Notamacropus eugenii: one gene and its partners. Each later gene encodes a partner of the first gene's protein in a complex. Links are inferred from orthologs where the notes say so. Each region holds a gene or a part of one and is shown in the gene's direction. Other genes may lie near its edges. The genes, in order: SMARCA2, PHF10, SMARCC1 and SMARCD1.

What was found.
Region 2: SMARCA2 (region 1) and PHF10 share a complex: the UniProt entries of both Homo sapiens proteins name them as parts of the neural progenitors-specific chromatin remodeling complex. The link is inferred for Notamacropus eugenii from reciprocal best matches to the Homo sapiens genes SMARCA2 and PHF10.
Region 3: SMARCA2 (region 1) and SMARCC1 share a complex: the UniProt entries of both Homo sapiens proteins name them as parts of the BAF complex. The link is inferred for Notamacropus eugenii from reciprocal best matches to the Homo sapiens genes SMARCA2 and SMARCC1.
Region 4: SMARCA2 (region 1) and SMARCD1 share a complex: the UniProt entries of both Homo sapiens proteins name them as parts of the BAF complex. The link is inferred for Notamacropus eugenii from reciprocal best matches to the Homo sapiens genes SMARCA2 and SMARCD1.

What each region holds. Positions count from the first base shown.
Region 1 is NC_092872.1:99,142,436-99,149,825, reverse strand, and holds the start of SMARCA2 (probable global transcription activator SNF2L2), read left to right. Parts: upstream 1-4,371; 5' UTR 4,372-4,544; intron 4,545-4,694; 5' UTR 4,695-4,761; intron 4,762-4,988; exon of another isoform or gene 4,989-5,204; 5' UTR 5,205-5,377; intron 5,378-6,377; exon of another isoform or gene 6,378-6,643; intron 6,644-7,065; exon of another isoform or gene 7,066-7,390. UniProt on the Homo sapiens protein: ATPase involved in transcriptional activation and repression of select genes by chromatin remodeling (alteration of DNA-nucleosome topology).
Region 2 is NC_092873.1:266,066,045-266,073,654, reverse strand, and holds the start of PHF10 (PHD finger protein 10), read left to right. Parts: upstream 1-4,593; 5' UTR 4,594-4,652; coding exon 4,653-4,742; intron 4,743-6,109; exon of another isoform or gene 6,110-6,291; intron 6,292-7,610. UniProt on the Homo sapiens protein: Involved in transcription activity regulation by chromatin remodeling. Belongs to the neural progenitors-specific chromatin remodeling complex (npBAF complex) and is required for the proliferation of neural progenitors.
Region 3 is NC_092872.1:12,829,335-12,836,453, reverse strand, and holds the start of SMARCC1 (SWI/SNF complex subunit SMARCC1), read left to right. Parts: upstream 1-4,110; 5' UTR 4,111-4,125; coding exon 4,126-4,332; intron 4,333-7,119. UniProt on the Homo sapiens protein: Involved in transcriptional activation and repression of select genes by chromatin remodeling (alteration of DNA-nucleosome topology).
Region 4 is NC_092874.1:222,199,037-222,206,535, forward strand, and holds the start of SMARCD1 (SWI/SNF-related matrix-associated actin-dependent regulator of chromatin subfamily D member 1), read left to right. Parts: upstream 1-4,481; 5' UTR 4,482-4,532; coding exon 4,533-4,709; intron 4,710-4,821; exon of another isoform or gene 4,822-4,847; coding exon of another isoform or gene 4,848-4,970; intron 4,971-5,658; coding exon 5,659-5,846; intron 5,847-6,118; coding exon 6,119-6,161; intron 6,162-6,271; coding exon 6,272-6,394; intron 6,395-6,833; coding exon 6,834-6,956; intron 6,957-7,499. Other genes in the region: ASIC1 (acid-sensing ion channel 1), read left to right, coding at 39-143, 871-975. UniProt on the Homo sapiens protein: Involved in transcriptional activation and repression of select genes by chromatin remodeling (alteration of DNA-nucleosome topology).

The sequences.
Region 1 (7,390 bases):
CATACTAAAGTTGACCACCAGAAAATAATTAAATTTTTTGAAAATATGGTGATCCATATAGTGTTGGGTATTAACATCCTAATCAATGCTGGAAAGAATCCTTTTGGAAACTCTTGAGTTGATTTTAGCTTTATTGATTACTTCTTGCTAAACTATAGTGTTATAGCCACAATAACAGTAGTAGCTAAGTTTAAAATCTAAAATTCTAAAATCTTCTATAGTAATCTACAACAGACAAAGCATACAGTCATTACTGTATGGCCGTATTTACTCCTTTTTCATCATAGTTAGACAACATTTTAATCAGAGGAATAATTTCCCTTTAAGTCTAGAAATGTTTGTTGGCTCCATATCCTTACTCTTTTTAACAACTGTGACCCTAGACTTCAATTTTTAAATCATCTATTTGCTTTTTGAAGAACTTCTAGTGATATACTGGGCGCAAACAAATGAATGTGTCAATAAAGACATGAGGAGGTGGTCTCTGTCTCTGGATTCCAAGGTAGAAAGTGAAAAGCTGCTGCTTCAGAGACCAAACAATGACTCATCAAAGGCCAGAAGGAAAAGCTTCACGTGAATTTAACATCCTGTTTGACAACCTGGAGATCTTTCAGCCTTTGACCATATCTGCTTTTGGGAGATTCTCTCCAAAACAAAAGCAACCCTCATAGCCATTCTTCACATCAATTGTTAAATTTTGCTTTTTTCCTGAAAGCTGAATTTCATGTTATTTACTTCACATCTGAAATAGATGGGGATGCAATTTCATTTCTCAGAAGTTTAAGCCACAACAGGCGAGCAATATTGGATGAGATTCCTGCCTGTTACACTGCATGTTACTTACATGAAAATCCTTCATAAGATCTATTTAAAGAAATCAAAGGAAGGAGATTGTCATTTTCCTAGGAAGCACAAAGGGATATGTGGTTGAGAAAATAATGTTGACATTGTTTTTCCTGATTGATATTGTTTTTTATCTATGCTTTTGAAATTTCCATAGTTTCTTCATAAATTATGCACAAAGGCATACAAAATCCTATAAATTAGATGAGGAAACTATATAATACATTAGAGACAATACACATACACACAAATGCACACATGTATATTTATGTGTATGTGTGTGTATGTGTGATATATGTGTGTTTCAATTACAAAAATTTACAATTTAAATTTAAACTTAAAAATACTCCTTTCCCTCAAGTACCTTACATTCTAATACAGGATGCAGCATATAAATAGATAAGAAAACACCAACTTATTTGAGAAGTAAAAAAGTACTAGCAAGTGGATGGATTAGAACAGGCTTCCTTTAGAAGAGGTATGTGAACAACGCTTTGAAAAAGTAAGATTCCAAGAAACTAAAAATGAGAGAATACCTTCTTGTTCTTTATTCATGTCTACCCTGTGGACCATAGCACACCAATACTGTCCTTGGGGTTTTCTTGGCAAAGATACTGGAGTGGTTTGCCATTTCCTTCTCATGTGGATTCAAGCAAATGGAAATTAAGTGACTTGCCCAAGGCCACACAGTTAGTATGTATCTGAGGCCAGATTTGAACTCAAAAAGATGAGTCTTCCAGACTCCAGACCTAGAACTCTGTCCATTAAACCACTTAGCTGCCTCCTAGGTAAACAGATATTAAGTGATTTGCCCAAAGTCACACAGGTAGCCAGTAACTAAGGCTGGATTTGAATTCAGGTCTTGCTGACTCCAGGCTCCAGGCTCAGTGCCACTGAGCCACATAGATACCTAGAGTACCTTCTGGGCCTGTGCAAAGACACATAGGCAAGAAATGAAAAAAACAATTCAGGGAATATCAATTAGTCCCATTTGACTAGAATGTAAAGTCTAAATAATAACAAAGTCAGTAAGTAGAAAGGTATTTGAACATGTATGTATATATGAATATATATGTGTGTGTGTGCATATAATATATAGACACATATCTTTACATATGATGTATTTGTACCTATAAAGGTATGCATCCATACATATATGTCTACATACATACATGTATGCATCCATAAATGTATGTATATATACATATATGATTTTATATTTTTGCCATTGAATACTCAGTACCAAACTCAGTGCCTTGCACATAGCACTTAAAATTTAATTAAATTGGGTAATTGAATACTCACATATGCTCATACATATCCATACAGACATTTTCCCCCCAAAAGCGGGAAAAATTCCAGAAGGAATGGAAAGTCCTTCTACAGATGTTTTGCCAAGGTGATTGGTTTCTCCATGAAAATTGCCTTAACTATAATGGAGAGGGCAAAGAGGTCCAAGGGCTCTTTTTTCTAGGAAGGAATAAAGTGCAATCTCTTATGCCAAAATATTGGAAAATATGTGGTCTTAAGAAATTATCCATTATAACAAGAATCTTCATTAAATTAAAACCCAGTTATGGGCCACCAAATTATTAAGTTTTATTATTAGTTGTAATTTATGAAACAGTTAAATACCTTTGACTGTATTTTACTATGCACCTAAATTTGCTCAGCGTCTCTTGCTGGAGATTCGATGGTTAATAATTATATCAGCATGTCCTTGGGCAGAAAAATCAGTTTATTTTACTGGATGCATGGGGACATACTACGTATTTTAATTGATTCTCTTTAATACTGTCCTTTATCATATTTTGAATAGCCAGAAAATGATGTTGAAGTTGGTGATCAAGTAAAAAGACCTTGGGAAACTACAGTGTCAGTGACAAGTAACATTGTATCTCTGGCATTATAATCATGTCATTACAGATTCTAATTTGGTCAGTAATAGACCAGTAACATAAACAGTACCTGTCACTTAATGACCATATGGAGCATTCTGTGTTCTTCCCATTGCTTCAGGTTCTTAACTTCTCCAGCTGGCTGTTTTGAACATACTACAAGAACGACATTTCAGACACTTGCTCAAATAGAGTCAATTTTGCAACAGTAAAATGCCTCTTAAAATAGGATTTTACTCTAGGGGGAAAACTCTCTATAAAATAGTCACAATGCACTTTCAATGACTAATTTAGGCTGTTGCATGGCAAAATAAGGGATAAATCAAACTTTTCATAACTCTAGCACATAGGAACAGTTTTAATTTTTAAAGGCAAATACCTACATTAATCTGAGGCTAAAATAACAGACCCCTGACTTAAAATCTTCCAATGTGTTCTTTCACAGTTCATAAAAATATTTCTCTCAGCAAATATTGACGGCCTGGTAGGCCTAAGGTGCTTGTATTTCAAGGAACACCATAAGCTGAGGTCTGGGTTTTTTTTTTTTTTTAAAGTGCCAGGAGCATTTAGTTTGAAATCTTAATTGCCTCTTAAGTGTAGGAAGGCAGACTTAGAGATTAATGTGAATGCAGGTTACCAGATTTACTCCCTTGCTTCCACCAAAACGAGATTCAATGGCCCAACTCCTTATTTCCCCCTCCCAATTCCCCTCACCTCAGAACTGGTGTGTATTTATTAATTTATTTATTTTTTACTTATGGAATATAGGAGAAGAAAGGTAAGATAGCAATCTCCGATTCCCAGAGTGGAGGTGTCCCTATTTCTCCATAAGCTTCATAGCCTGATTGCAGATTTGGGGGATCAATGACTTTTGGAAAGGTGCAACTCAATGGAAGGAGAGTCGGATTTGATCTCAATGTTCTTTGTACCCTCCTCCCTTCCTGGAAAAAGGCAGATTTATAATTATAGTCCGGGGGGGTGGGGCGGGAGAGGGAGGAAGTTTCTGCAGCCTTGACAATGGCTATCCCTTCCTTGTAACAACCAGCCTTTGGTGCAACTCCGAATCTATCTCCTCCTCCCCCCTCCTTTCCCCCTTTCCAGGCTCGACCTGGCAATGGCTGGCACAGTTAAATGCCAGCAATTTCTTTCCATACCCCCCAAACTACTACAAGCTATTACTACTACTACCCTCCGTTTTTGTTACGTCTCCAGAGCCTTCTTCCCCAAAACAACACGACGCTGAAGGGGGAAAATTTCAAGCCGGAGGGGGGGTGGGGGTGGGGGGTAGAAAGACATTCCAACAATCAATCGTTGAAAAAGGCAGCAGTAAAGCATGAACATCCACAAGCCAACTCAGGCAGGCTTGCTCTGTCCTGCGCAGTTTCTGTGGTTCCATGTACAAACAGGGAGCAAAGGCTGGAGCCTTTACAGGCACACATGCATACGCGCATACAGTAGACCTGTCTCTCAAGGCACATTCTTCCACACCATCACCCCCTCCTCCCGGTACTCCCGGAGTAGCCAAGGGGGCCGAGTGACAGAACAGGTCCACCAACCCCGGCAGGGGTGGGCAGGAATTCTCGCTGGGCCCAGCCAACTGGAGAGAAGCTTCCGGAGCCTCTAGCGTCAGGGGGGTGGGCCTAGCGAGGAGTAAGGAGGAGGGGCCCGAGTTTAGGAAGAGGAGGGGAAGGCTGTCATCAATGAAGTCATATTCATAATCTAGTCCTCTCTCTAGCTCTGTTTCTGTACTCTGGGTGACTCAGAGAGGGAGAAGATCCATCCAGCATACTCTTCACAAGCAAGGTAAATATAACTTACAACTCCCTTCTCCCCACCCCCCCCACCCCCCGCTCCTGCAGCAGCTGCTGTCGCACAACCACCTCCCGTGCACACTCAGCCTTCCCCAGGATTTATTCATTATGATCATAATTATTATTGATTGTACATGCACAGAGACCAAAACAAGCGAAGAAGAGGAGCAGCCGACAAACAAAACAACAACATTCCTCACCGGTCTCAGGTGAATAAGGAACAGACAGCACAACACCTGGGTGGTTGGAGAAGAGGTGACGAGGGAAAGTTTCCAAGAGAATTGGGGTTCTAATAATGACAGTAATCATGCCTACTTCATGAGAATCAGAACAAAAAGCAGCCACACAATCCTGTACCTGGCTACCAAGTCACCGACGCGCTGCCAAGTCAAGGTTGCAAAACAAACACACACACACACACACACACACACACACACACACTACAACGCACATAGATGGGCAAGGTTGCATCCCCCCCCTCCCCATTAAAAACCTCTGAGGGGAAGAGGGGGAGGAGGGGAAAGAAGGAGGGAGGATGGAAACGCGACAGTTCATAATAAGAAACCATCATAGTAACAGTTGGAGGGGGAGGAGAGAGCAAAATCTAAAGCTTGTCATAGAGCACTGGTAGCCCCTGGCTGCTTTCTCCCAGGGACTTGGTTCAGGAGCTCAGGCAGCGGCGCGGACAGAAATAGATCGAAAGCAGCAACAGTCGGGGAAACCGAGGCTCAGCTCCGCCGTGGCGGCGGCGGCGGCGGGGGCGACCAAGGTGGGAAGCCGCGGCGGCGGTGGCAGGAGCAAACAGAGGCGGCAGGAACCTGGCCGGTAGGTTGGACTCGAGTGTTTTTACCTTCCCCCCCACCCCCCTTTCCTGCGACGGTGACAGACCCCTGGACTTGTATGGTGGTGCTGTAGCTGCTGGCTGTGGTGGTGGTGGTGGTGGTGGTGGGAGGGGAGGGAGGTTTGAACAGAGGATTGCAGGAGAATCGCACCCGGTGTTCTTCTTCCCCAGTTTTCTCTCTCTGTGCACCAATGAGTGCCCACCCCAGTGCCTGCCTGGCAGGAGCAACGGAGGATTCGTTTGGTGCTTGTGTCTGGAGGGGGCATGCATGGGGCGGCGGCAGCTACTGCCTGAGTGCTCGGGCTGCCGCCGCCGCTGCGGCTGCCACCGAGTGTTGAATGTTGAAGTTGAGTGTGTCCGGCCCGGGCTTAGCAGCTGGGCGGGTGGAGGTGGGGAGAAGAAGAGGAGGAGGAAAAGGAGGAGGAGGAGAAGGAGGACACGAAGGAGGAGGACGGAGAGGAGGAGAAAGAGAAGGAGGAGGTCTGGTTGCCCCCTCCTTTTTTTTTCTAGGGCAGTGGGCGCTGAGCTATCCCTTTCAGGGTCAGCGGCAGGGGTGCGAATGGGATGGGGAAATCAAGTGAGTGAGAAGGGGAGAAATGGAGCTTGTTAAGAGTGAGTGGCTGCTGCAGCAGCAGCGGCTGCGTTAACCAGCCGAGCCAAGGAGGCCATGATCCGGATAATCTCCCTGTCTGACTGTCACTAACATTACACACATACACACGCACACACACTCACACACATACGCACACACAGGGGCACGCAAGTGCAAGGTTTATTGGTGGAGGGCGAGGGGAAGGTTGCTGCCTGGTAGGAGAGGGTCCAGAGTCTCCTGACCACCAATGCCTCTTCTTGTTCCTTGTCTTTTAGTTTTGTAGGGTTCTGATCGAATCTGGTTTGGGTTCTGCCTCCTCCCCTCCCCTCCTCCTCCCCCCTCCCGCCCCCCGCCCCCCCAGCGCCAAGAGCTCCTCTCCTCCTTCTGGTTGCCTTGCAAAACACAGTCACGCGAACTGCAAAGGTGTCGCGATTCACTTCCCCAAATAGCCTGTCCAGCTCGTCCCTGACTTGGCCCCGTCCACTCCCCGGGCCGCTGCCGCCGCCACCTCCCGGGTGCAGAACAGCGGGGTCGGACGTTCGGGCATGCCTGGTGCCTTGCATCCAGCGCATCTGTGTATGCCTGGCTTCATCTGGAAGATAAATGGATAGCTCCGTGCATTAAACGCTTCCCGGCCCAAAGACTTCGTTGATTTCCGGTAAACGCGGGGAAATTGCTTCTTGCGGCTTTCCCCCAGCTTTTTCTTGGCTGTAACCAGTGTGCAACTACCTAGATGAGATGGTGAAGACCGCGGTCCTCCTGTTTTCATTTGTTTTTATAGTGGTTGGAAGGCAGGGAGGGGGAGGCACAGAACTTGCCCCTGTTGCTTTGGAGGCGGAGGGGGGTCTGCCGCATCCAGACCCCAGGAGGGAAGTTTGGAGAGGTCTAAGGCAGAAAAGTTTGGCAGGGTAGATAACTAAGGTGGAAGGGGAGGGAGAGAGCGGTGGAGAGGGCCTGAGGGGTTTGCAGCTAGTATTACAGTTTGCTCTAGGTTGGAGTGTGTGTGTATGTGTGTGTGTATGTGTATGCGCGAGTGCGTTGTGTGTGTGTGTGTGTGTGTGTGTGTGTGTGTGTGTGCGTGCGTGCGTGTGCGCGCGCGAGTCAGGAGCAGCAGGAGGAAAGCAGACTCCCTCCTCCTCTCTCCTTCTTCTCCTCCTCCTCTTCCTCCCTCCCCAGCCTGTGCCTGGAGAGGAAGAGGCGAGGTTTGGTGGTGGTGGTGGTGGTGGTGGTGGTGGTGTGTGTATGTGTGTGAAATCCTCGGGGAATCAGGAAGTCACAGCGGCGAAACACACACACGTACGCACACACATACACACACAGACATGTTTGATCGGTATGACATGATGAGAGGGAGGGAAGAGGAAGAAGAAGCTGGAGAGAGACAGGCCTAGCGCTCTCGGGAAAT
Region 2 (7,610 bases), on another chromosome or scaffold:
TGCCTTTTTAATATTAATCATATTCCTATATTCTATGTAAATTTCTGTTATGTAATTATATCTTTACCCTACAAAAATCCATCTTGCTTTCTTGGAAGTTGCTAGCTCCTCTTGGAACTTAATCAGCTTTTTGAGAGGCGACAATCTCAATAAATGCCTATACTTGGATTAGAGGTAGTTTGACTCTGAATTCTTTGATACAGTTCTACCCCAATACATCATGAAACCAAAACAATTTTTGGTGTCCTAGAGTTGAAACCTCAACAGTTTTTTACAATTAGATTATTTAGTTTCCAATTAATTTTTATTCTCCCATGGTCTTTACTGAATGTAATTTTTATTGCCTTATGCTTTGAAAGGGGTGCATTTAACATTTCTGCTTTTCAGCATTTGGTTTTGAGGTTTTTAATACCCTAATCCATGGTCAGTTTTTATGAAGGAGGTATGTATAGCTGAGAAAAGGGTATATTTTTATCTATTCCCATTCATTTTTCTCCAGAAGTCTTTTATCTAACTGTTCTCTAACATTCTATTCATCTCCTTGAATTCTTATTTATTTTATGGTTAGATTTATCTAGTTCTGAGAGGGGAAAATTGGGGTCCCCATTTGGCACATATATTTTAGTATTACTATTACTTCATTGTCTATAGTTCCTTTTAGAAAGATGTAATTCTCCTGCTTATACCATTTGATCAGGTCTAGTTTTACTTTTACTTTATCTGAGATCATCATTGCTGCCCTTGCCTCTTTTATTTCAGTTGAAGAATAACAGATTCTGCTTCAACCTCTTTATTTAACTTTATACATGACTCTCTGTTTCAAGTGTGTTTCTCATAAGCAACATATTGTTGGATTCTAATTTCTAATCCATTCTGCTGTCCACTTCTGTTTTATGGGTGCCTTCATTCTATTCACATTCAGTTATGATTACTAACTGCATTTCCTTCCATTCTATTTTCTTCTCTTTATGCTTCTCTTTTTATATATCCCTCCTTCTAAAGTCTGTTTTGCTTCTGACAATTGCTTTCTTTTGTCTGTCTTCTCTTTAATCACTTCCCTTGCCCCTTTTTCTTACTTCTCCCTTTTTCTCATTGGGCAATATAGGTTTCTATTGCCAATTGTATATTAATTACATAAAATTAAAAGGTTTTTGCACAAGTAAAAGCAATGCAGTTAAAATTAGACAAGCAGATATGAGGAAAATATGTTTTCAGCAAGTTTCCCTGACTCATTTCTAAGATTAAAAGCCATTCCCCAGTTGATAAATGGACAAAGGATATAAATAACCAGTTTTCAGAGAAAGAAATCCAAGTTATCAAGTCATATAAAAATGCTTTAAATTATTAATTTGAGAAATGCAAATGAAAATACCTCTTAAGTTCTAACTCACACCCATTAGACTGATAAAGTTGATAAAAGAAAAATAAATGCTAGAGGTATTGTGGAAAAACAGAAACATTAATGAATTGTTACTCTGGATGGTGACCTCACCTAGACATTCTGAAAAGTAATTTGGAATTATCCCTCTGCAGCTACTAAACTGTGAATTCTCTTTGATCCAATGATACACAAAAGAGTAAAAGGGTTCATGTATACAAGAGTATTTATAGAAGCTCTTTTTGAAGTAGCAAAGAACTGCTCAAAAAATATTAAACTCATCAATTAGGGACTGGCTGACCAAGTGATAGTATATGAATGTAATAGAATAATATTGCGTTGTAAAAAAATAATGAAGATGGTTTCAGAAAAACCTGGGAAGCGTTATATGTTAGAACTGATGCAGAATGAAGTAAACAGAAATACAATTTCTATATTAACAACAATGTTGTAAGGACAAACAACTTTGAAAGATTTAAGATCTATAATCAGCACAATGAAAAAGCACAATTCCAGAGGACTTTTAATGAAACATGTTACCTGCATTCTAATACGCAGGTAGGTGATGGACTCAGTACAAATTAAGATAAATTTTATTTTGGACACAGACAGTTTGGGAATTTGATTTACTTGGCTATTCCTGTTTATAACGTAGGTTTTCTTTTTTTCTCAATGGGAGAGAAGATGGTATTAGGGAGAAAAGGAGGATCTTTAAAAAATGTGAATATTATGGTACAGTTAAGAAATAAGAAAAATTTGAAGAAACAAGAGAAGATTTACATGAACTGGTTGAGATAACAATACATATAATGACTACAACAACTTGAATGAAAAGATCAGTAAAACAAAGTATTGAGTAACTGAAAAACCAATAAAGGAGATGGAAAACAGATGACATATCTCCACAGTACCATGGAAGACTATAATGCATATTACAGCATACATTTTCAGATGTCACTATATTGGATGCTTTTACTTTGTTTTGATGTCTTTTTAATCACAGGGAAAGTAATCTGAAGGGTGAAAGTTGAAATGACAGATGCAAAGACAGGAGACATTAATAAAATGTACTTTAAAAATCAAAGTAAAAATCACTTTGTAAAAGTCAGCATTATTACAACTGTGTCATTAATCATTAGCAATTAGTGTGGGATAGGGATGGGGCTCAAGTAGAAAGCAGTAAAGAAGAAACATGTCAGACCCACTTAAGGGTGCACCTAGAACTGTGAGGGGGCACTTTAAGCCTGCCTTTAGGTAAATTCAGAGAATATGTTCTTACATATATTTGTTGTCTCTTCTTCTATAATGTGTAATGAGGGACTGACCAATAAGCTCAGTTCTTAGGAGTCCTTTATGAGTGCAGCAGCCTGGTCAATACAGTTCTCCTCATAGGAGAAGCTGGGGAACTTTCTTTAAGGAGACTGAAGTGCCTTGGAAGGACTCTGAAGAATGTGTAGACATTCTGAAATGAGTTTTGTTCTGCTAGCCACATGATGAATGGCAGCCTCTACGACTTACAGTTGAAGAACCTGATTCAGAGGTACATGCAAAAAGTTTTGGTCAGTTTTGGCTTCTCCTTTGTTGGATCACCCATCATGGTTTGACTCCATTGATAATTTCTGTTGTGTGTGTTTGTCCTTCCTTCTGAAGAAGACCATGCCATCACAGAAATGATGACATGACTTGCGCTTGACATTGCTTTGAGTGAGGGAGGCTATGCAGGTCACCAGCCTCACTTCTCCTCCAGAGCCATTTGAATCCAGTGACCAGATATTCATCAGAATGACTGGAGATGGCCCAGGATGAGGCAATTGGGGTTAAGTGACTTGCCCAAGGTCACACAGCTAGTGCGTGTCAGGTGTCTGAGGGGAGATTTGAACTGAAGTCCTCCTGACTCCTGCACTGGTGCTCTATCCACTGCACCATAAGAACTAGAGGTAGCTACAGCTGAAGAAGGTAGTTTAGCCTAGAAAGAGGAAAAATAAGGACATACTTAAGCATGAAGGTTATCTATCATCTACCTGATCTATCTGTGTACACCCCAGGGGGGGCATACAGATATCTATCTCTATCCCAGTCTGGGCTGACTGGTTGGAACGGCCCCAACTACACATACATCTATGTAACATGTACACACACGGTTACATTTATACAGACATGATTGCACATGGGCTCTCTGTCCCAATCAGCACCTCCCTCTCTCATGCGTGTGTGCAGATGCACGTGGGTATGTATGTAAGGTCAGTCACCCCCGAGTGAGATCGATCTTTCCCGGCACCAGGTGACTGGGGGCCTGGCTGTATTTGGGGACCCCAGTCTGCCGTGTACAGGTGCCCCCCATTGCTGCTGGGGCTCCCCACGTGCAGTCCCCTATACCGCCCTCTCGGTGCCGGGACGAAGCCCGCCGCCCTTTCCCGGGGTGTTTTCCGGCGAACAGGACACAATAGCAGGGAGGACAAAGGCAGCCCAGGGGCGGAGGAGGCCAAAGGGCCGGAAGCCGGCCGCCCCGCACCCCGCAGAGCCCTCCCGAGGAGGCCCCGCTCCGCCCCGGAGCTCCTAAGGCAGGGCAGCCTTAGGAGGGAGCCGGGCGGGAGGGGACGCGCCGGCCCCCGGACGCACACCACACAAAGGCGGGGCGGGGGCCGCGGCCAATGCGCAGAGCGGCCCGGCTGCGGCAGCGGCGGGAGCGGAGAACAGAGGGGGGCGGGGCCGCCGAGGCTGGGGCTGCGGAAGGAGGCTGGAGGGGAGGGGGCGGGGTGGGGAAATCGAGGCGAGGGGGAGCGGACCCAGCGGAGCCGGCAGCAGGATGGGCCAGGGGGCGGGGGAGCCGGGCTGCGGTGGGAGGGGAAGGGGGTGACGTGAGGAGGGGGCTGAGCCGCGATCGCTTCCATTCCTCTCCCGCTCCCCCGCTCTCCGGGCAGCAGCGGCGGCAGCAGCCTCAGCGGCGGCGGCGGGAACTGTGACTGTGACGGCGGCGGCGGCGGCGGCAGCAGCGCTGGCGGCGACCGTGGCGGTGACGGTGGCGGCGGCGGCGCCGAGCCGGGGGGCGCGCGGCGGCGGTGCCGGCCGGGGCTCGGGCCGGGGCCGGCCGCCTGGCAGCGGCAGTGGCGGCGGCGGCGGCGGCGGCGGCGGGCGGGCGGAGGGGGCAGGGGAGGGGGCGGGGCCGGGGGAGCGGACGCCGCGGAGGCCTCTCCGCGCGGCGGCGGCGGCGGCGGTCAGGACGAGGCGGCGGCGACGGCGGCGCCGGCGGCGCGGGGGGCTCGGGCTCGGGCTGATGGCGGCGGCGGCCGCCACCCCCGGGGCTGTGCTCTCCCCGCGCCTGTGCGACAGCAACCCGGCTACGCCCGGAGCCCAGTCCCCGAAGGTGAGCGGGCCCGCGAACGGGGAAGGCGCCGGCCTGCGGGGTCCCCGGGCTCGTCCCGCCCCTGGGAGCCCCTAACGGCGGCCCTTAGCCCTGGGGGTCGCCAGCCCCATCGCGGGCCGGACGGGGTCGGGGTACCCCGGAAACAGGTGCAGGCGGGCGGGGTCCCGGGAGGGTCTCTGCAGTTCCGAGTCAGGGCCACAAGCTAGGGAAGTTGCCAGGGATGTGCCCGTCAGCCTCCCCGAAAAGTCCGGCCCCAAGCTGTCAGCGAGCCTGGATACCGAAAACACGGAAGAGGAAGGGAGCAACCAGACGGGGCTTAACCCCGCTTCGCCTGCGGGTCGTTCCTGAGCGATTTTTAAGCCACCCCCCTCCCCCAAAAGTTCTCAGGTAGCCCCAGAAAGGAAGTCTTCCTCGATCTTGGCCCTTGCTTGCTTCGCCCCCCGGGCGGCCCGGCCTGGCCTCTGTGGGCTGGCTGTCGGCATCGTTTGGGACACCCGGGCCCGGACAGAAGTCTCCACAGTTCAGGTCGCTGCCAAGAAAGGACTTGGTCCTGTTTTTGTGCGGTTTGCTCAGGTGTATCCGGATATTAACTCGGATCTTAAGTTCACTGTAAAGAGTTTTTAAGCTCCGGATAACGCCGCAGAACTGGAAAGGTTTTGTAGCTAGTTACATTTTTGGCATGTCCACATGTGTGCAGTCACAAAGCCGTTGGAGTATTGAAGTAACACTTGTAATTATTTCAAGTTATTGAATTTATAGTGAGTCACTAGTTTACTGGAGAAGTTAACATAGGACCACCACAAAAGAATCTCATTCAGGAGACCTTTTTCATCCAAGACACCTTCAGTTTTACTCCGGAACTTTGTTTACAAAATGACCTTTTTGCCTCTTTTTGAAAAAGAGGGATTAAGTTTGTTTTGCTTGGATCTAGCAGAAGCATTGAGTGGAACTTGGAAAAAGGCAAATTTAGATTTCATGTTAGTAAAAAACTTAGAAATACCCAAAAGGGAAATGGGCTGTCTTGAGCAAAGGCTGGATAACCACTTGTGGGATTATGTTGTTTTGGGGATTTTTTCTGCATCCTTTTTTATAAGCACTGGCCAAAATTGGAATGAAAATTGCTCCTGAAAATATGAATAGAATATTACAAGAACACTTTTGCATGCATTATTTTGCTTGATCCTCAACCATTTGAATTAGGAAATTCAAATATTATAATCCTCCCATTATATATGACCTCAACACAGTTGAAGTATAGAGTCAGCCTTTCAGTTTGTGAGACCCACCCCACCTCTAACTAGCTTTATGACCTTGGATAAGTCACTCAACTTTAAGTGCCCCAGGCACTTTTTTTTTTTTTTTTTTAGGTTATACATTTGGGTGCTGATCTGCTTTAAGTGGAAGGTGTTTTCAGACTAGGAGGTCCCTGTGCAATGAAATTGAAAGATGAAGTTCCTTCCTCCCCTCTGGAAAATAAAATGCAAATGAGGAAAAGGTTCCGAGGAGTTCTAACTTATCTCTAACTAGTGAAAGAAGGGAGACTTCAGCTGTGAGTGACAGTGATAGATCTAAATCCAAAGTACCATATTGTATCTACACTATGATGTAAATGCCACGTATTTTATTTTTTAAACATTTGCCTAGATTTTCAAAACTGTGAATCTGAGTCAGCATTTTCTTTTTTAGAGAAGCTGACTAAAAAAATTATCAATCATGGAAAAATAAACCAGCCTTTGACCAAAAATTAATAAAGCATATGCTTAAGATAATACAAAAAATGGAATCAAAACTAGGGCATTTTGATATTTCTGACAATTTTTATTTGCATTTTTTCTTCAACTGGATTTTTTAAGTACAAACTGGAAAAATGGAGATCTTCCTATTTTGCAAGGGGGAAGAACTAAGGACAAAATAAGAATTTAAATATTTTTAAATGAAAGGGCAGAGAAAAATATCCAAATGAGCATATGTAATCTTAGAAGTTAAAAATACTTTGTGGCTTAAAAGTCATGATTAAATGTTGAAAGAGAAGCAAATACTTTTAAAAACTCATCTTGAGATCTAGTAAAAAAGTTGAAATACAGCAGTTAGACATTGAACAAACACTGTATTTCAGGCTAAGTACTAGGGATACAAAGGCAAAAACAGATCCTGCTCTCAAGGAGTTAGCCTTCTAAGGGGAGAGCCAACCTGTAAATAACTATGAACTAATAATAAAGTCAGTCATCTCAAGATTAAGGATGTAACCACTCTAGATTTGGAAATTGTCTTTTTTTTAAACTGGAATTCTTTTACTTTGAAATGATGATTTTATTGGTATGAGAAAATCACAAATCCCCTGAACTTTTCTAATGCGCTTCCTCTGGCTCTTCTAAGATTTCAGAAGTATATAGTAATACAGGGGTTTTCTATTATTCACTTTTGATTTTCACAGTAATCACTGACTTGACACCTTTTATAGTTTCTTAATCTTCATATCTTTTATAGCATTTTTTTGTCTTGGTAATATTCTGAAGCCAACCTTATAACCATCAGCAAGATCTCCATTGCCCTTTGAGTACTTGTAATTTTAATTTTCCTAACATTATTGTGTGTATGATTTGCATTGGTATAGCATCATCAGGAGAACAATGTATAATGCTCAAGAGATGCTAGATTCTAGCATCTGAACTTGACAGAACAAATCCCCTTAAATAAAAGGATCTGTTCTGTGAAGTTTGGATTCAGTCAGAGGGCCACACTTGAGAACCTAGAGGGCTATGCATGGCAGGTTCCCCACCCCTGTTTGCTAGAAGAACATCTGCTAGAGATCAGGCGTAATCATATTTGGAAAACTAGACTATTTAATTTTTAAAAACAAATTTTTAT
Region 3 (7,119 bases), about 86 Mb from region 1:
AGGTGTTGACCTGCTTTTCATGCTTTTCTTGCATCTCTCTCATTTCTCTTCTCAGTTTTTCCTCCACCTCTCTTACTTGATTTTCAAAATCCTTTTTGAACTCTTCCATGACCTGAGACCATTGAATATTTATTTTGGATGTTTGGGATAAAGAAGCCTTGACTTTTATGTCTTTCCCTGATGGTAAGCATTGTTCTTCCTCATCTGAAAGTATGGGAGAAGATATCTGCTCACCAAGAAAGTAGCCTGTAGTCCTATTTCCCCCCCTTTTTTTGGCATTTTCCCAACCAGTTACTTGACTTTTGGGTCATTTGTCAAGAGTAGGGTATACTCTGGGGGGGTCTGTAAGATCTCAGCTCCTCCAAGGTGGTACAATCAAGTGTGTACACTGGTCCAGGAGCAAGCAGAAATTTTTGTGCCCCAAATCTGAATTTCCTCTTCACAACCACCTTGCCTCCAATTCCACCGAGCCAGAACTGGGGGCTGAGATTCAGATAAGCTGCAGGGGCAGGGCTGCCATTCAGTGTGAGATAAAGATCAGCTGCTCAAATCCCCAGGAGTATTAGGTGGGGGCAGGGCCTCTACACAGGGCTGAAGTAAGAAACAGCTGCTCAGTGCCCCGAGGGGTTTTACAATCCAACAATGGATGCGGGCTGCTGTGGAAGCTGCTGCAACCCACCCGATGTGGCCTCTGCAGTCGCCATCTGAGGCTCAGAGCTATGGCAAGGCCCTTCTCCTTTCTTGGCCAGCTGAAAAAACCTTGTCACTGACCTTTGGCGCCTGTGTTGAGGGATCTGTGAACCGTTGCTACTGTAACTGGGGATTCTGCCCCTGAGGTCTGCTCTCATCCTCCTCCCAGAGCTGCGATGTGCAGCCAAGGCTGGGCGACAGACATTTCCTGTTGGCCTTTCAGGTCACCCTGGGGTGGAAATCTCCTACACTCTGTTGTTCTGTGGCTTCTGCTGCTCTAGAATTTGTTGAGAGCCTTTCTTTACAGGTATTTTATGGGCTATGGGGGAAGAGCTAGTATATGTGTGTCTTTCTACTCTGCCATCTTGGCTCTGCCCCCTAGTACAATAATTTTTAAATGATCCCTCCTGGATCCATGTTCCAGGCCAGTTTTTTTTCCAATGAGATATTCCACATTGTCTATTTTTTCATTTTCTTGGTTTTGTTTCATAATTTCTTGATTCCTTGTAAAGTCATTAATGTCCATTTGCTCCATTCTAATTTTGAAGGAATTATTTTCTTCAGTGAACTTCTGGACCTCTTTTTCCATTTGGCCCATTCTGCTTTTTAAGGAATTCTTCTCTTCATTGACTTTTTGGACCTCTTTTGCCATTTGGGTTAGTCTAATTTTAAAGGTGTTATTTTCTTCAGCATTTTTTGGGGTTTCCTTTAGTAAGCTGTTGACTCATTTTTTTGTGACTTCTTGCATCACTCTCATTTCCCATTTTTCTTCTACTTCTCTTACTTGATTTTCAAAGTTGGCCCAAGATCAATTCATATTTTTCTGGGAGGCTTTGGATGCAGAAGATTTGGCTTTATTGTCTTTTTGTAGTTCTATGTTTTGATCTCCCTTGTTACCAATGACATAAGAAAATACCTCTTTGCAGAGAAAGTAAGAATCTATAGTCTGTTTCTTTTTCCTGTTTTATCATTTTCCTAGTTAATTACTTGACTCGAGCTCTTTCTTATGTTGAGGGCTCCAGGGGCAGCTGCACAACCAATTACTTGACTTTTGAGGTCTGTATTGTGAGGGACTCCATAAGCAGCCTCTGCTTCAGCAATGGCTGCTGCTGCTTCTGGGGCTGGGGCTGAAGCCAGACTATGCTGCCCTTTCAGCCAGGTGAGAGACCCTTCACACTGACCTTCAAAGCTGTCTGGTGTTTGTAGGTTGAGATTTGTAAACTGCAGCATGTGCCAGTGATTCAGTCCCCTAAGGCTTGCTCCAATATCTTCTGTGTTGGCATGGCCCACATGGAACTGTGCTCTGCTCCCAGCCCAGTGTGATACACCCTTTCTGTCAACTTTCCAAGGTTGTCTTGGGCTGGAAATTTGCTTCAGTTTGTCATTTTGTGGCTTCTGCTGCTCTAGAATTTTAGAAATTTAGTCATTATTATTGGTTTTTTGAGGGGTTTGTGGGGACAACTCTAGCAGGTTCCTGCTTCTACTCCACTGTGTTGGCTCCGTGCCCCTTTCCCCCCCCCTCCCGACAGGATTTCTGATGTTTTGGAGCAGGTTCTTGACTTCCCCTGGTTCTCACAAATTAGAAACTCTTATAGTTCCTAGGTCCTGGTGGCAGAGGAAGTGTATAGTGGTAATTAAGTTCCTGGGCTGAACTCAATTTCTCCATCATGAGATACTAAAGCTTCATTTCAAGTTGGCAGAAGCTAAAGCATACCTAGAGGTCACCCATCATATGGCACAAGTCACTATCCTTTGGATCTGAGTCCTAAGAAACAAATCAGTCTTCCTATCCCTCAGTACCCTTGGTAGGCTGAGATTTGGGGTTTATGAATGTTTAGAATTCCCTTAAAAACAGGTCTTCTGATCTTCTGCCCACCTAGGAGCTACGGCCTGGGGTAGATAGGTTATGTCTTTGGAGCTCCAACTCTGTGTTGTAGAATTTAAAAGTAGAAGAGACTGCAGGGATCAGCTTTTCCGATCCTGTTATTTTATAGATGTGGAAACTGAGGCCCTTAAAGCATCGTTTAGTTGTTTGAGGTCATTTAGCATAATTGCATTCTCCTCTGAACTCCTTATAACATTTTAATGGTACAGGAATTTTTGTAGGGATATAGGTGGCCCAGGAGATAGAATGTTTGGAGTCAGGAAGATCTGCTTTCATTCTGCCTCTACGCAGAGCAAGTTACTTGAGCTGTATTGGAGATAATATAGGCAACGCTGCTTCCAGTGTTGTTATTATGCTGGCTAGACGCTGATCTATGGCACATGGTTAGTTATGTTTCCATGCTGAATTCTCTCTTAGGTAGCAAGACCCTTGAGAACACTTCCTTCTACCCTATGCCCTGTTTTGTCTGCTTGTAGACCTTAGGAAAGCTTCTCCAAGGAACAGCTGACAGGGCAAAGGAGAGCCCCGGCTTTGGGGGAGGCCTGGTATCTACAACCTGGACTCCAGTGAGGGATGAGGGGCCCTCTCCTCTCAATCAATCAATCAATAACCGTTAGCCGCGTTTGTTGGGTCTTACGGGAACACCTGCATCCAGCTGTCAGCGCCAGGGCAGCTGCCCAGAGCACGTGACCCCCTCCTCTCTGCAGAGGTCATCTCTGCGGACCGGCCCTGCCACGGAGCTGTGGGGGATGGGCTGAGGGAAACTCGGACCCGGACCGGGCAGGCCGCCGTTCTTCTGGCAGCTCTTGGAGCCAACATCCTGGGACCAAAGGTGGGGGCGCTTCGCCCGGGGTCCCGGGGGCACAACTCGAACCCAGACCCGACCCCAAAGCCTGGCCTTCACCCCCTCGGCTAGGCGCTCCTTTTGTCTTGGCTGGACAAAGGAATGAATCACGTGAGCGGCCGGAAGTCAAAGAGCCTTTCTCTCCCCCCCCCGACACATTCAGTAGGCGCCTACTGTGTGCCAGGCACCGCTCTAAGGATGCAAAGAAAGGCGAACGGCCGGCCCGGCTGCGCAGGAGCTCCACGTCTAACCGGAGACATGGCTGGGGAGCCATCCAGTACGACCAGCTGGTACGACGGGTGGACCCGGCGAGAAGAGGCGGCCCTGAGAGGAAGCTCAGGAGCTCGCCGGCGAAGCAGAGGATGCCGGCTGCGCGCGCACCCTCCGGAGCGCGGAGGAGGGCGGGGAAGAGAAAAGTTTGGGGAACTGACGGAAATCCCAGGGGCCGCGGAGCGAGCTCGGCGCATGCGTGCTCGGCGCGTGCGTGCCCGCGTGCGCGCGTGCGCGCGCCGGCGCTAGGCTGGACGAGCAGAAGCGCGGGCGGGGGCGGGCCGGGCCTGGGCCTGAGGAGAAGGAAGTGGGAGGAGGCGAGAGGAGGAGGGGGAGTGACCAAGGCGCGCGCCAGGCCGCCCCGCTGGAGTTGGGAGGTGCGCGCGCAGGCGGCGAGTCCCGGAGCAGGCGGCGGCGGACACGGCGAACGGCGACAATGGCCGCGGCGGCGGGCGGCGGGGGCGGCGGAGCTCCGGGGGCGGCGGCGGGCGGCGCGGGACCGGGGGGCGCGGCGGCGGCGGCCGTGGGCCTGGCGCTGTGCCGGCGGAAGGACGGGGGCCCGGCGGGCAAGTTTTGGGAGAGCCCGGAGACGGTCTCCCAGCTGGACTCGGTGCGGGTCTGGCTGGGCAAGCACTACAAGAAGGTGGGTCCCGGCGCGGGGCGGCCGCGGGGCCCGGGGTGGGGGCGGGGAGCGGCCCGCTCGGCCCTCCCCCCGCTCCCCGCCATGAGGGACAACAAAGGGCGGCCCGCGGCTCCGGGGCTTCCCCTGGCCGCCTCCCCCGGGGCCGTCCCCTCGGCGCCGGCGGGGCCTGGGGGCGGCGGGGCCTCGGCCTTGCCCCGCGCGGGAGCGGGCGGGCCGCGAGCGTCGCCTCCAGGAAGTCTTCCAGCCGTGCCTCCCCTCCCCCCGCCTCCTGCTGCTGGGGGGGGGGGCGCCTCGCGGTCTTCTCGGGTCAGGCGGGCCGAGGCCGGGGCCCGGGGTGGGGGCTGGGTGCCGGGGCCGCGGGACCGAGCAACAAAGGAGCCCCTTCTTTCACCGAGTCTTGGAGGGCCCGTCGCGTGCGCGCGGGTGGGGGGCCGCCCTCCGAGGTCGCGAGGACTCGCGTGTGAACGTTTCACGCCGCCCGGGGAGACACATCCTCAGTCATCTGCCTTTTACGGACGGGGAAACTGAGGCCGAGAGCCTCGCTGGTCTGCCTGAGCACCTTTGGAATCCAGGTCTTCCTTGGTCCCCAGTCTCCTACTGACTGTGTCTTCTTTCTGCAGTTTTTTTTTTTTAAAGACAGTGGGGGTGGAAAGCACAAAATTGGGAGTTTGTAACCTCAAAGTAAGGTTACAGAAACTTTTAAGAGAGAAGCAGAGGAGATTTTTTTTACCCTATTAGATATTTTTTAAATTTAATCCTTAAATGTCCCTGAGCAGAGCTCCCCCCATCATTCCATTCTACAGAAAGATGGTTATGATAACCGTGAATTTCCAGTTCACACTGCTTGCCTTTTTTCATAACCGACTTCTTTTTGTTCTTCCTCTTGAACTTCCATCTCTTCTGTGAAATGTATTGAATATTTAGGAGAAAGTTAATAACGGAAATTAAAAGCTTAATGATTATTAAACGCTTGTTGCCAGGTACAGGTATTCATTTCATTTCGCTTTTGGTATCTGAAACTTGTGTCAGTGCTTTTCTAGATGCTTCCTGTGAAGCCTTGCTTTTCATTGCAGCACATTGTAGAGAAAAGAGCATTGAATTGGGAATTAAGAGGACCTGAATTTAATCTCACCTCTGCCACTTACATATGTGACCTTGGGAAAGTCACTTAACCTCTGGGTCTCGGTTTCTTCACCTTTGAAATCATTGGGTTTGACTGGATCACCTCTTAACATCCCATCCAGCTTCAGATAGATGATCTAGTGAACTTAACATGTGTAAGAAAATAATTTGCCAAATGGAAATGAGCTTTTATTATAGTCAATGCCTTGTGTAAGGTTTGTGGAATTGAGTTTCTGTACCTTTCAGTCTCAGACTTTTTGATCTCAGGATTCCTTTACCCTCATAAAAATTATTGAGTGCTTTTGTTTATGTGGGTTATATGTCAGAATTTACTATATTATAAATTAAAATGTCTTAGCATTGTTATAAAAATAGTTTTGACTCCGTGGACCCTTTGAAAAGGTCTTGAGACTTAAATTCTCCAGACCGCACTTTGAACACTACTGGGAGACTAGAGACCCTCACTTCATTCCACCTCTATGCTCTTCCAATATTTCCCCAATTTTTCTTTTGGCCTGGTTGCTTAAGGATGCAGCCCTCAAAGGTGTGCTTGATGCATTTCACAGTTCTGATGCTCTGGTGTTTTTGTTTAGGAGGCCTAGGGATCACTCTCAGCTGGCTGTAGAGCAGATCCAGATATACATTTCTAGGGAAGAAGTGTGTATTTATCCTTGATCTTTTTCAGTGGCTTAAAATTAAAATTTAAGCTTGGCTCCAAGAAGAGTTAAGAAAATTCACACCCTCCCTTTGTAAAGGTGGTACCATGTGGCTGGAATATTGTATATTCTGCCAGGCACTGTTTTGCTTAACTACTTTAAAATTTTTTTTTAAATCTTTGTTACACCGGCTGAGAAAAGGACAATGGATATAATATATTTAGAAACAGAAGTTATCAATGAAAATAAAATGTTTCAGAAATATCTAATGGAGAAAAAAGCCATTATAGTAGTTATGGAAAAAGTATTTTAATGTCTTAAAATGTCTTAAGTTAAATGCTGATATTTTATGTCATTTTCAGTAGGGTTAAAGAGAGCTGAAAATGCACATTAAAATTTTTATATTCTGTAATGAGGCCTGGACCAAAGTATATTATATTTTTAACTAGATTCAGTGTAATTCTACTCTCTTGATATTTTCATTGGTGCACCAAATAACATTTGAGCATCTTCTACTCCAAAGGAAATTATGCTAATGTAGGAACAAAGAATAAGTTGTGATTCTTTTCTCTAAGGATGTTATATGTACCAGATGGAGAGTTAATACCTCACAGAGCAGTGCTTGAAAAGTGCTGAATGTGTTACTAAGTCTTCATGGTCTATATACGTACATAATTGTCAGTATGTTTCCTAATCTGATTGAAAATATTGTCTGTGAATATAAAGCTATTTTGTTCATTTTGAATCTTAATTAGTATCATTTTTTGATGAACATCATGAAATGAAATGCTGAAAGCACTTTGAAAAGTACAATGTTACTGTCAGGTGGTAGAGTTGTTACTGTTATATTGTACCTGAGGCTTTTATTTTGGTCAGATAGTGATCTCTCTTTCTCCTCCCTTTTCTTACCCCCTCCTCTCCTTTCTTTCTCTTTTTTTCCTCTCTCTTCTCTCTCCTTTCCCTCCTCTCCCTTTTCTGTTCTTTGTCCCCTTCCCCCTCATATGTCATG
Region 4 (7,499 bases), on another chromosome or scaffold:
CCCCCATCCCCACTGCAGGTCTTCTCTCTTCCATCCAGGTGATTAAGCACAAGCTGTGCCGTCGGGGCAGGTGCCAGAAGGAGTCTAAAAGGAACAGTGCAGACAAGGGTGTAGCCCTCAGCCTGGATGATGTCAAGCGACATGTAAGAGACCCTGAATAAGATGCTCTCTCTTCTCCTTTCCCACATTAATACACACCAAAAACCTCCTCTATTCTCTTTCCTTCTCTCATTCCCCACTGGTCTCACTGGAATCCCAACGTTATCTATCTACGCTTCCCTCTAAGTGACCCTAAAGATAATACTCTCCCCAATGTTTCCCTAAAATTATTCCCTGCTTTGACTCTTCAACAGTGCATAAACATTTTTTAAGCACTTACTATATGCAAGGCACTGTAGGTGTTGGGGATACAGAGACAAAAGTTAAAAATAAATTCTGCCCTCAAAGACCTTATACCTACCTTGAAGGTCAAAAGACCTCAAAGACCTGGGTTTGTAGAATTAAACAGAAGGGGCAGATACCAGGAAGATCATCTCAGGGACTACTGTAATAATCTAGGAATAAGGCAGTATTAATTAATCATTCTAGAAATTATTAATCTAGGAACAATCTAGGAATAACAGTTATGACAGGGATAGTGGCAATAGAAATATATGTTAGAGCAAAAAAAAACATTTTGAAAAAAGGATCAATAAGATTCAGTCATTTGAGTGGATATTGAAGGTGAAGGACAGGGAAGTAAAAAAAATTACTCCTAGTCTTCCTTTGCCATGATTCTTCATCAACCAAAGTCCAATATATTTTTCACCCTGACTCCCTTTGTTTGCTTTTCTAGTGATTCTTTCCCTGCTCTTTCTCCCCCCTCCCCAGAACCCCTGTGAGAGCCTCCGGGGCCATCCTGCTGGGATGACATATGCCGCCAACATCCTACCTCACCATCCGACCCGAGGCACCTTTGAGGACTTTACCTGCTGAGCCCTGCCAGCCGTCATACCAAAGGCCTGGGAGGGAAGAGGAGGGCAAGGAAAACCTGGGAGATCAAGCTGCTCACCTGCCCTGGGGCTTATCACTGCCCCTCCCACTTCAAGGGCAGCTCCCAACTCCCTTCAAAGTCCTTCCCTCCTAGAACTGGTGGAAGGGGGTTCTGAGTCCAGTGCCCTTCTCTACTCCCTTGCCCTCCATGTCCATACATTTTTATTTTTAACAAAACAAATAACAACAGAAATAAACTACAAAGAGAAAGGGCAAGGGACCCCAGGCTGTCCCTCTATGCCCTGTGCTGCCTCCCCCTGCTCCTAGCCTGACCTATGTCTGTTTGAACATCCATTCTCATCCTGCTTTCACCATTCACTGAAGCTCTTCCAGCAGGGACGACATGAGTGGAAAGACTCCATAGGGGTCTTGAACTGGGCCCCAGACACAGAATGTACCTTAGGAGGGAGGGCTAATGGGGGAGGAGGGCTTCCCTAGCCTTAAGAGACCCTTTCAGTAGTGTCCCTACCCTCCAGTTTTAAATCACAAGGGCAGGAACTGAGGCCCCTGGCCCTCTCTCCCTTACACTTATTGGGTGCCCTTCAGAGGTCAAGGAATAGATGGTGTTCCCTGAGGGACTTGGGACAGGATGAGGCACAGGTTTCATGCCAACATTGGTCCTGGTCCTACCCCAAAATCAGAGAAATTTTTGAATGGGATCCCTCACCCTCATTCCATGAAAAAAGATGTAGACACTTGATTCCCAACTCAGGGAGAGGGGAACTGGCACCTATTTCTCTCCTAACTCCCAGTTCCTCCCTCCAAGGGTCCCTTGCATGGGGCCACATCCATAAATTTTCTTATGGAACTTCCCCAAGTCTTTGTCCTCTATTCCATCTGTTTCTTTCTATGACTTCATCTGCATTTTCTATTTCTATATGATACAGACTCTATATTGCTATAACTGTATATACTCCCTTCCTTACGCCTCTATCTGTCTGCCCTTCCCATCCCCATCCCCTGTGTCTCTAAGTCCCATCCCTACTTCCTCCCAAATCTCCTTCTGTCTCTCTTACCAACCTACTACCAATCCCTCTGAATGCCTTCACCTGTATAAAGTGTTGGACTCTCTCCTCCGGTGTCTGTACTGTGTACACACATCCCCCTGAGAAGCACAAGGAGACGACGTACGCATTGTAACTCTCTCACTGTCTTGGACATAAAGGAAGCTGTGAATCATAAGCTCTGCCTCTTTCTGGCCTGCCCCCCAACCTACCTATGCTTTGAGCACTCTCTGCCCTCCCTGTAGCCTTAAGGCCTCTTCCTTCCTTTCCATCAGTCCCATTATCCCCCTTCTGACTAGGACTTTCCTCCTGGGGGAAGGGGTGGACACAGAGAATTGGCACTTAGCTCAGAGGATAGATATTCCCTCTTGGCCCCAAATCAGGGTGAATTATAGATGATGGAATCCCTGGAGCATGGAGATAAGGTGTCAGGGACAGCGTAAGGGTGGGAAACAACCCATAGTTTCTAAAGGTAGCCACTGAAAAATATATAGGTGGCTAGAAGATAGTGTCTAAGGCCCTCATCCCCAAGGCTATGTCGGCTAGGGTCAAATTCTCCCCATTACTGACTACCCATCCTCTCTTACCTGGGGTCCAAGCCTGTACCTCCATTGCTCAGATTTTAGGGACAAGGCTGGACTTCATAATGAGATAGGACTAGAGGAAGCGTTGGGAGCTCATGCTGTTACACTATCTCCCCATCCTCCCCCTGAGAAATAAGATGAAAATAGAGGTTTGCACCTTCCAATTCATCTTTCTCTATCTCAGATGGTCCAGAAATATCCCTTCCATCCTAAGGCCCTCTTGCTTAGAGCTCCCTGGGGGAAGGCCCCAGCCAACATAGCCTCTGATGATGAGGATGAGGCCACTGACATAATTCTAGGAGATACTTGTTCTCCCCTCTCCATCCCTGTGCTGGGGGAGTGGTAGGGATTTCGGAGGAAGACATTGCTGGGAGTCTATAAATACCTGGTTCCTGGTTGTCACTTGGACAGAGAGCAGACCTCCCTGTAGAGAAACAGGAGGAAGTATGCTCTAAGCAGCTGCGGTGACAGCCAGCAGGATGGTGGGTGAGACACTCCTCTGGTCTAATAAACTGGGTTTCAACCATCTCCCCTCACAGTGTTGTTTTTAATTGTTCATTCGCTGGTTCAACAAGTATGTGTGGAACACCACTTGGCACTGGGTTCAAGGCTTAGAACCCTGCTGGACTTGGCACCAGAGTGCCAGGGGCGGACAAGAACCCCGAGAGGGCCTGGATGGTCATTTTTAGACCAAAGATCTTTATTCTTTTGAGCTAGGACTGCCTAACAGAGGACCAACAGTGGGCTTGAGTTTCAGGCGGGGGAAAGAGGGGGTACAAGGAGAGTCCCCATGGCAATGGGCAAGGTAGTTCGGGTCTAAGGTACGCAGTAGTATCTACGTGAACTTTTATACGCTTTACAAAAGAAAGCTTTACGAATTCTCTCCCTGGAGCGTCACAGTACCTGTAATACCCTAAGTCGCGAGTGCCCACCTCCCCATTTTACAGGAAATTGAGGTCCATCTGCCCAGGGTCATACAGCTCATTAGTCTGAGGTCCGACTACGTCATGCCTAGGACCAGTAAAACTTGGGGGTAGGGCAGATCCAAAGGTGAGGAGGGTGACTCCACCCCGACACTCCCGTTTCCTAGCCGGGTGCCCGCGGGCACATCACGGACGCGCTCCGGGAGGTTCCCAAAGCGCCCGGGCGGCCTCGGCCAAGTAGACCCCCGGGGCCCGGAGCCGGGCAGACCCTGCTTCAGATCCTGTCCCAGCCGGGCGCCCCGGGGCGAGTTCACTTCGCCTGCCTGCCTCAGGGTCCTCCTCTGTACAACGGGGGTAAATAATAGCCCCCACCTCCTCGGGATCGTTGCGAGGATAAACAAACCCACGGCGCCTGCAAAGCTCCTTTCGAACCATGGAGCGCGGTACCGAGCCGAGCCAGCCGAGTTACGGAGCCTGCTTCCGTGTGTGCCGTACGGGCGATCGAGAGCCTCCCCCGCCGCCTTGGCAGGAAGAAATGAGACAACCCGAGGGCAGCAAAGCGCTTCTTAAGCAGCGAGCGCAGCTACACCCGGCGCTGCCCGGGCCCGGCCCCGCCGGCCGGCCCAGCCTGGCCGGGGTAGCTGGTGCCAGGTGCGCGCCGCGCTCGGGACCGGAGACTCGGCGCCTGGCCGCCCTCCGGCCGGCAGGGGGCGCGGCTCAGGGGCGCTCTCCCCCGCAGCTCCTTCTCGCTGGTTTCTCCGCCTAGGGCCAGCGGGCCAGGAGGAGGGGACCGCCCGCCTCGCCTTTTCCACCACTCCCTTCTAGCCCGCAGTCTCGTTGCCCGAAGCCACCCCTTCCCTATCCCGGGCAAGCTCCGGAGGTCTGGGGGTGGGAGGGGGGGTAGCTGAGGGGGAAGGGAGAGTGGCCGAGAGAGGGGGGAGTTCCGGTTCCGGTTCTTTGTGCGGCGGCGGCAGCGGCTCCGGGGGAAGATGGCGGCCCGGGCTGGTTTCCAGTCAGTGGCTCCGAGCGGCGGCGCCGGAGCTGCGTCAGGGGCGGGCGCGGCGGCCGCCCTGGGCCCGGGTGGGACCCCGGGGCCCCCGGTGCGAATGGGCCCGGCGCCCGGCCAGGGGCTCTACCGCTCTCCGATGCCCGGAGCAGCCTATCCGGTGAGTGGGGGCGGGGAAGAGGGGGGCAGGAGGAGGGGCGCGCGGGAGGGGGGCGGGCCCTGCGGGTGAGTGGCAGAAGGGGCTGGGCCGGGGGTGCCCGGAGGCGGCCGGAACCGGGGAGAAGGGGAGGGCGAGAGGATGGAGATGGAGCTGGCCGTGGCCCGGCGGCTTGGGGAGAGGAGCGAGCTGCAGAGCCAGGCGCCTCCGGTCCGGCCGCATCCCTCCCGGTGTGCGCTTAGGGAGGCCGGACCGCGGGAGCAGGTTCGGCGGAGGTCCTGGGTTCAAATGCGGCCGCCGCTTGACGTCCGCGTGCTCTGGGGCCAGTTCACCCAGCCCTTGTGGCCTCGGCTTCCAGGTCCCTAAAGTAAAGGCGCCCCTTCGTCCTAGGGTTAATGTCCTACGTACAGCTTGCAGCTTCTGCATTCAGATTTGGGAGATGGGCCAAGGTGACCTCCCAGGTCCGGTCCAACTCTGGTTCTGGCTCTGTTTCTTTGGAAGGGTACGGAGTTAGGTTATAGAGGAGAGGCTGAAGAGGGAGTTCTGATCTACGGAAGATTAAGAACTCCACGGTGTCCTGATAACCATTGAAGGCATAGTTGTCAAAGAGATAGCGACTAGAAAAGAAGAACCCCAAAGGAACAGGAGGCTTAAGGGAAAGAGGAAATCCCAGAACAGCAAGGAAGCGTGTTTATGCATTAGAGGAGATGGGGCGGGCTAGATGACATTTTACCTTGGTCTCGTCCTTTGGTCCTTTCTTCTACTTTGGGCTGGTCCGCCTTCTCAGGAGCCAGGATCCTGGGTAAAGGAAGCTCCAGTTAGCCCACATTCATACAAGGTTCTAGGGTTCTCCCATTTTCCCCATACCTTTCCCTGAGGTAACACAATATTCTTTCTAACATCCCACAGCTCGGGACAGCTATAACATCTCTGTGTTGTGTCTCACCTACAGCGTCCAGGCATGTTGCCAGGGAGCCGTATGACACCTCAGGGACCTTCTATGGGACCTCCTGGCTATGGGGGGAATCCTTCAGTTCGACCTGGTCTGGCCCAGTCAGGAATAGATCAGTCCCGAAAGAGACCAGCTCCTCAACAGATCCAACAGGTCCAGCAGCAGGCGGTCCAGAATCGAAATCACAAGTAAGACACTTCTGGGAAGGGTAAAAGCAATTCTATGGAGACATAGCAGCTGAAACTGGGGAGTGTGTCTATAAACCTATGTGACTCATGAAACTACCTTATCTGAGTTTACCATGGGTTGGGGGGATTTTTCTCTGGTCTGAAAGAAACTTTTCAGTCCCTGGGCACCCCTTTTCCTCTTTCTCATGCATTCATATGAGGATGCCGCCCTCCCCATTTTCAGATTCTGGTCAGTTCCATCCCAGCCTAATACCAATGTTTATTCTGAACAGTGCAAAGAAAAAGAAGATGGCTGACAAAATTCTACCTCAAAGGGTGAGTCTAGCACGCCTTCCCCATGTCCTGAGTCTCCCCTAGGGCCCCTATAGTACCCGTGAGTTTGAAAGCAAATTTTATATACCTGACTATATCTTGCTCCCCTTTAGATTCGTGAGCTGGTACCAGAATCCCAGGCCTACATGGACCTCTTGGCTTTTGAAAGGAAACTGGATCAAACCATTATGAGGAAACGGCTAGATATCCAGGAGGCCTTGAAACGACCCATCAAGGTACAGGAAACTCCTCGGCAGAGACCCAAGAAAGAGGGATTCAGGATCCATCAGCAGTCTAAGAAATTGAAAGTTCACTGTAGATCTCCCAGACGTATTTAAATTTCCCCTTTTCCCTAATAGCTAATTTTATTAGAAGTACCAGAATAGAAAAAGGAGAAGAGGGCCCACTGTTTCACCAGAAATCTTTGTACTTTTGATGTCACTGTTGTAATTGAGTCCTCTACCCAGGAACCCAGTTGGCACTGTGAATATCCTCGTTTGTCTTGCATCCTTATTTATGCACTGTGGGCTGGTTGCCCATTCATTTCTCCTAGTTGGAATCTCTACCCTCCCCAAGGGACTGGGCAGACAGCAATTTGTTCTGGTAGAATTAAATGGTTAGGGCACAGTATTGTTTCCAAAGCTCTATACTAATCTTTGTTTCTACCCCCTCCAGCAAAAACGGAAACTTCGTATTTTCATTTCGAATACTTTCAATCCAGCTAAATCAGATGCTGAAGATGGGGAAGGAACTGTGGCTTCCTGGGAGCTTCGAGTGGAAGGAAGGCTCCTTGAGGATGTGAGTGTGATGTTCACACTGGTAGGGACTGGGGGTGGGGGCATCTAGAGAAGAGCAATGTCTTTCTGGTCTGGAGGGACCCTGAACGGTGCTCACAACTCCTTTCCAGAGCAGCAGGGAGAGGGACGTTCGGCTCCTTGCGTTGGAAGACAATGGCTCTTTGTGTGCAGCTCCCACAGCTTTGGCCTTCACTGCCATATCGTGTTGAGAACACTATTGTCCTGTGATCTGATTTGCTGTTCACTTCCCCCCTCGGCTCGTTCTGGCCATTAATGGTTTCCCAGGTTTCTGCTGATTACCTTGGTTTGGGCTTATTTATCAAGTGAGTTTGCAGGTTTTTCCCCCATATGGCATTTCAAGCCATGACTTCCTGTCTGAATCCTTAAGATCCTTAATTCCCATTGTGTGATCTCCCTTCTCTCTGCTGTTGCTGAGAACAAATCATGATTTAGAACAGGCAGATTTCTCTGACATGCTATTCATTATTTCATGCTGAGTGTCAACGGGGGGGTTGTGAGCCCCTAGACCTCCCACCCCCACTTG